Canis lupus familiaris: one gene and its partner. The protein of the gene in region 1 interacts with the protein of each later gene in a biochemical or structural test. Links are inferred from orthologs where the notes say so. Each region holds a gene or a part of one and is shown in the gene's direction. Other genes may lie near its edges.

What was found.
Region 2: the proteins of NGF (region 1) and NGFR form a complex in vitro, tested with the Homo sapiens proteins (2 studies listed by BioGRID and IntAct, with this or other methods). The link is inferred for Canis lupus familiaris from reciprocal best matches to the Homo sapiens genes NGF and NGFR.

The regions. Positions count from the first base shown.
Region 1 is NC_049238.1:53,428,335-53,431,411, reverse strand, and holds NGF (beta-nerve growth factor precursor), read left to right. Parts: upstream 1-1,690; coding exon 1,691-2,416; 3' UTR 2,417-2,468; downstream 2,469-3,077. UniProt on the Homo sapiens protein: Nerve growth factor is important for the development and maintenance of the sympathetic and sensory nervous systems.
Region 2 is NC_049230.1:25,556,675-25,560,493, forward strand, and holds part of NGFR (tumor necrosis factor receptor superfamily member 16), read left to right. Parts: intron 1-3,432; coding exon 3,433-3,574; intron 3,575-3,819. UniProt on the Homo sapiens protein: Low affinity receptor which can bind to NGF, BDNF, NTF3, and NTF4. Forms a heterodimeric receptor with SORCS2 that binds the precursor forms of NGF, BDNF and NTF3 with high affinity, and has much lower affinity for mature NGF and BDNF.

The DNA.
Region 1 (3,077 bases):
CTTGCAGCCAGTGGGGGAGACAAGCTTAAATCACTGAGCTTGAAAAGAAATTTAATCAAGGTAATGAGCGTGCTATGAAAAGGTGTGCATGGAACCGGCTCAGAGACAGAACAGGCAGCAGTGTGACTGAAGAAGACGAAGTCCTTGACCACAGGACATTGGAATGACTCAGAATTAAGTAGGTGTGTGGGCACCTTTCAATCCTAACAACAACCCATGAAATAGTGTTTAGCACCTGCTTTTTATCAATGAGGAAAGGAAGGCTCAGAAAGATTAAGGGACTTTCCTCTGCTAACAAGTAACTGAGCTGGGAATCCAAATAAGGTTTGGATCCAGATCCAATGCAGAACGATCTGTGGGAATGGGGAGGCGGTAGAGATGGAGTAGGAAGTTTGAGCACCCCCTCTAGGGGATGCCTTTAACCCTACCAAGATTTAGGGAAGCTTTGCAGAGGAGGTGACACCTAATATCCATCTACAGGTAGTGATTGGGGCCTTCACAGTTAGCTGCCCTGGGGGTGATCACTGGTGGGCAACTCTAGTGCAGTGCGGAGCCCTGTCTGGACCATGCTCCAGAGGGGCTTGCACTGCCTCTTGGGGACAGATGGATTTCTGCCATTTGGTTTATACTCACATAAGAGTAAATAATAACAGGCAAAGGTACCTGTAAGAATGAAAGAGCAAGTGAAGAGGAGGGAGGAAGGGTCGGCTGGCAGAGTAACGGGTCAGCTTTGGGTTCTATTTCGAGTCCTGTTGGCACTGATGACTTTAGACCTGTTGGTTAATTTTCTGTGGATTACTTTCTTTGTATATGAAAGAAAGATGAAAAATCCTAACCCAACACACAGACTAATGAGAAATTAGAAACGAATGTGCTTGAGAAGTTTTAAAACTTCACACAACAAGGAGCTATCCTCAGCATCGGTATTTGTGAGTGCTGACTGGTGGCTGAATAGGCTGGCAATCATGGTCCAGAGCTATATGCTTTTTGACCAAACATGATGCTTCATGGACTTGTAATGAGGGTCCGGAGTCACCAGATCTCAGAGCTGAGCCAGTGCTGCTGTCTGAAGAGGGTGTATTCAGGGCTGAGGCGTCCAGACTAGTCCCCAGCAACCCTTCCCACTGCCTTCCCCGGGGGAGTCAAGCCACTGGGCAGGAAACAGCACTAAGGACAGGTGTCAGGCACACACCGCCCGCCCTCAGCTGCCTCAGGTGGGCAGGCACAGCACTCAAGGGACTCTGCATACAGTGCTAGCAAGTTCACATGGAGCCAAAGGGCAGAATTTCAGGGGCTCTGTCCCTTCCTTTTTTTTTTTTTTGTAAGATTTAATTTATTTATTCATGAGAGACACAGAAAGAGGCAGGGACTCCCTGAGGGGAGCCTGATGCGGGGCTTGATCCCAGGATCCCGGGATCACAACCGGAGCCAAAGCTCAAGCACTGAGCCACCCCGGAGTGCCCTGGCTCTGTCCCTTCTTGAAAAAGCCTACCCATCCATGGTGTGACCATATCTCCAGTCATCTGAGCCAGCCCTGCAGATAGATGCCTACTGTCCCAGGTAATTATGGCCAGCAGCCCCTTTCACTCTCAAAAGTCTCCCAGTTTGGACGGTGAATTCCAAGGTCACCCTGCCCTTGGGCTCCGGTGGACTAACCCTTGTTTCTGTTTCCTGGCAGGTGCATAGCGTAATGTCCATGTTGTTCTACACTCTGATCACAGCTCTTCTGATCGGCATCCGGGCAGAACCGCATCCAGAGAGCCATGTCCCAGCAGGACACGCCATCCCCCACGCCCACTGGACTAAGCTTCAGCATTCCCTTGACACAGCCCTCCGCAGAGCCCGCAGCGCCCCGGCCGGGGCAATAGCTGCCAGGGTGACAGGGCAGACCCGCAACATCACTGTGGATCCCAAACTCTTTAAAAAGCGGCGACTGCGTTCGCCCCGCGTGCTGTTCAGCACGCACCCCCCACCTGTGGCTGCGGACGCTCAGGACCTGGACCTGGAGGCCGGCAGCACCGCCTCCGTCAACAGGACTCACAGGAGCAAGCGGTCTTCGTCCCACCCTGTCTTCCACCGGGGGGAGTTCTCGGTGTGCGACAGCGTCAGCGTGTGGGTGGGCGACAAGACCACAGCCACCGACATCAAGGGCAAGGAGGTGATGGTGCTGGGAGAGGTGAACATTAACAACAGTGTGTTCAAACAGTACTTCTTTGAGACCAAGTGCCGGGACCCCACCCCCGTGGACAGCGGGTGCAGGGGCATCGACTCCAAGCACTGGAACTCCTACTGCACCACCACCCACACCTTCGTCAAGGCGCTGACCATGGACGGCAAGCAGGCTGCCTGGCGGTTCATCCGGATCGACACGGCCTGCGTGTGCGTGCTCAGCAGGAAGGCCGGGAGACGAGCCTGACCTGCGGGCCGGCCCCCACCCTCCCCGCGCCCCCCTCCACACCCTCCTGGGCCCCTCCCTACCTCAACCTGTAAATTATTTTAAATTATAAGGACTGCATGGTAATTTATAGTTTATACAGTTTTAAAAAATCATTATTTATTAAATTTTTGGAAGCATCCGGGGTGCCGGCGCTCCAGTTCTTTCTCCCAGTGTGACCATGTGCAAGCCCCGGCCGCTGTGCTGTGCGGGTGGACTACCCACAGCGTCCCCTGGCTGTAACTCTCACCCCACCCCAGCCAGCTCTGCAAACTTCAGGGAAATCTGACTGGGTTCACATATTAGCCTAAGCCGGACATAATTAGAAAGGGAAGTCTGCTGGATTGCACTCTGCTCTGCATTCCAGAGCCAAAGCTACCTAAATCCTTGGATTACCTGTCCCACCGCCCCAATGCGTGGGCCTTGATTGCTTTACTTGGGGGAAGTCCATGGAGCCTCAGCAGAAGCAGGTCCCCACCTCAGCGATGCCCAGGCTGGGTCCTGGGGGCGACTCGCTGTATAGTAGGAGGAGACTTGCACCAAAGACCTATGAGGTTGGCTTGTTTTTAGGGGGAGATGTGCTTTTGCCTGAAATGCTGTCTGGAAGAACGGTAATGAAATAATCTCTGTCATGGTAGATCTG
Region 2 (3,819 bases), on another chromosome or scaffold:
TTCCCCAGTTGTCAGAGAGGAGGTGATGGCATCCCTCAGCATCTTGGCTTCTGGAGTAGCTGTGTGGAATGATGTCTCCTCTTCCTTATGGGACTTCCCACGGGGGTCATGGACTATGTCTCATGGAAAACTCTTAGTTCAATCTGGGTAAATAGTTGTTAACTAGTAACTAGTTGCTAATTAATTAGTTAACTACAGGGAAAGCAATTTCCATTCTCCTTTGGCCCTCTTCAGATTCTTTCTGGCGGATCTTTCTTCATGCCTATCCTGCTCCCTCCTCTTACGTGGTTTCCTCTTTGGGCATGACTGCAACTCTCCCCTCACACTGCCTCCCGCCTAGGCTCCGGCTCCGTAGCTCAGCCTGAGACAAAACACTTCTTCGATAACTAACATTTATTGAACTCCTACTATATGCCGGACAGACTTGCATCAATTATTTCATGCAATTTTCAGGGCAACCCTGAGCAGTAAATATTATCAACCCAATGCTTTAGGTGGGAAAAATGCATGCTTAGAGAGCCTGAGAATTGCCCCAAAGTAGCAGACTGTTAGGTAGCAGATCTGGGGTGTTCAGAAATAGGACACATAAAACAAGCACAGGAAACACATGGTTACTAATTATGTGGCCTGGAGTCCAAATGCAAGACTTGGGAGAAGAGAGAGGACCACGGGGGAAGGGGGTGAGAGGGGGGAGCAGAGCAGGCTTTGAGGGAGAGGGACATGCACAGACCACTCAAGTGCCATGGACAGACCCCCTCAGCTTTCCAGCAACTGGAACCTAGTAAAAAAGCCACAAAAGAGGCAAGAAAGACCTTGGGAAAGAAAAAAGAGGGATCCGGAAGTGTATAAACACCTTCTTTATTTGATGCCTACAGCAATCCCACGGGGCAGGTATTGTCACCATTGCCTAAAGATGAAGAGACTGAGGTGCAGAGAAATTCCAGCCTGTCCCAGATCACCCAGCCCTAAGCGATGAGCCAGGATTCAGAGTAATGGAGGAAGACAGTATAGCTCATGCTTTTTACTCAGAGAATTGCCTCCTCCTGGTTCAGATCCTACCTACAATCACATTTGACATCTTCCCACCCAGGCTAATGACATAGTTTCTGTAGATTAAATTTGATGTAATAATTTAGGATGGGAGGGGAGGGGCTGCTCAGATCATGCCTTGGTAGCAGTGAAAACTGACAACTGATATCTTGACAGGAAGGAGGGAGACAGAAACACTTTAAAAAAAAAAAAAAGGCTGACAGAAGAACTCAGAGACAAAAGTGTGGTAATTTGGGATAAAGAACACAGGGCTTCACTGCACTGCAGCCCAGTATGATCACTGGTGTAAATACTGAGTCCCTGAGTCATGGGGAAACCATGAAGGTATGTTCTGGAATCAGAGGGGTGCAGCCACAGTTAGGTGATCAGAGCAGCAAATCCTCAACTACTGGGAAATTCAGCTATTCAGAAAGTCTCCCCCTGTCCCCTGTGCCACTCCCCAGCCTGGAGTTCTAGTAAATTGAGGTCATTGTATTTTCATGTTCTTAATTTCATAAATATACATGTTGGGTATATATGGGCAGCAGATCTGGGGAGTTTTACATATATATATATGTTTATATATATAAATATATATAAATATATATATATATATGTTTATATATATATAGCCTCCTGATCTGGGAGGCATGGGGGCCACAGGATCACTTCCCTGAAGAAATGACATTGAAGCATGAGCCCTCAAGGATGAAAAGAAATCCAAACAGACTCTTCTGGAATCTCGCTCTCCCTCATAGTGGAAAGCCTGCATCTGGGACCATGCCCCTGCCCCGGCCCCCGTCTTGGCTTCTGGTCTGCAGATGTTCCCAGACCTGTGTTCCTACCACCTGGGAGGAGATGGTGGCAAATACCCAAGGACCCCACTGTTATGCTGCCTGCACCCTCCCTGCTGGTCTCTTGAGGACCACAAGATGCCTCCTAGACTGATCCAACCTGTCCATCCCCTTCTTTCTGCTAAACCCTGGTTAGACCTCAGGAGATTTTAAAGGACTAGAGGGAAAGGGAGTATTTTTGGTTATGATTTTGCCAACGTGGAAGCAGAGTGTCCAAAATGACCTTTAACACTCCCCTTTAGTCCCATGACCCCATACTTCCTCTTGCATCAAATAGGAGCTGCGTGGTCTGAAGCCAGGGAAACAAGCTTTGGAGTTTTATTAGAAGATTTTTTTTTTAAGGAATAGAAACATAAAACAAGCGGCCAGAACTCGCCCCCCCCTGCCTCCCCCCACCTCCACCCCCCAGGGAATCTGGTGCTAAATCGTTCCATCCATGAGCAAAGAGCAAAGATGCCTCGGTGGCAGGAATCTGACTCCCCTTTCCCCTGGTTCCAGCACTGTTCCCACTGGCTGCATGGGGGCAGGGAGAGGGGAAGACTGGTGGCTGGAATTCAAGCCCTAGTGGAGCAGGGCTGCTGGGGGTGAGAGCAGCCGCTTTTTCATTGTCACTAACAGGCATCCCTTTTTCCCTGCTTGGTGCCAGATTCTTGCCAATCAGCTGGTTCTTTGCTCTGGCCCTGAGTGGTCTCTGTGTCCATGGATGAGGAGAGGTGAAGACTCAGAGAGGGAAAGCAGAGCAGGTCAGAGCTCCAGTTCAGAGTCAGGATTCGAACCCAAGACCCCACTCCTCTGCCTTCTGTTTTTGAGTACAGACACCTCCCATTTTTTTTTTTAAGATTTTTATTTATTTTAGATAGAGCGAGCGAGAGAGAGCATGAGCAGGGGTGGGGGCAGAGGGAGAGGGAGAAGCAGGCTCCCTCCCAGGATCCTGGAGGGGTGATCCCAAGACCCCGGGACCCTGACCTGAGCTGAAGGCAGATACACAAGCAGCCAAGCCACCTAGGCACCCCAAGACACTTCCCATTTATGTTTAGTATGTGGAATGGTAGAATTAAGGACCCGGAGGAGGGCCTGCTAGCCTTTGTTAGAAAAAGCTTCCCTCTGTGTAGACAGAGCCCTGCTGGTGTTCAGCTTGGGAAGCAGCATTTGGGCTAGAGTTTAGCTTCCAGTTGCCTCCTTAGCTGGCAGCCCTGTGTGAGCTGGAACCTGTTCTGGCCAAAGGACCACAGCTGGGTCCCAGGCTGTCTTGTCTTCCCCATGTGGTGTATCCTCAGGATTCCAGGAGTTGCCGTAACCCCAAGATGAACTCTGTAGAAAGTCAGCATCCGGGGCTCTGACCTCACACCCAGGCAGCCTGCAGAGGCGCCCTGTTCCCCACAGCCCTTTTTTTGCCGCCAACTTTGATGTGCTTAATGCCTCCGTGGTGAGCTCATCCCCGCCCAGGTGGTTCCAATAGAAGGCTTTAGGAGGGGGTGTTTGATCTCTTGGAAGATATCCCCTCTCGCTTCTCTTGCCAGTCTGACCTTCTGATCTCCCCTCCGCCCAGGTGTCCCTTGGAGGTGCCAAGGAGGCATGTCCCACTGGCCTGTACACCCACAGCGGCGAGTGCTGCAAAGCCTGCAATCTGGGTGAGGGGGTGGCCCAGCCTTGCGGAGCCAACCAGACCGTGTGTGAGCCCTGCCTGGACAGTGAGTACTGGGTGGTGGTCTGGGGAGGGGTGGGGAGGTGCATGCCCGCTAGAAGCCTGACAAGGGCTCTGCCTCCTGGCAGGGTCTCCAGCTCGCCTCTCTGTGGGCACCCGAATGGGTCCGACCCAGTATAGGAGGTGAGAAGGAAAGCTGAGCATGGCTGAGGGAAGTATGCAGAGGAAGGAGGGGGGCCTCACCATGAGGGATCCCCAGGGGGTACCCCTGCCCAGCCCCCAGGTAGAGAG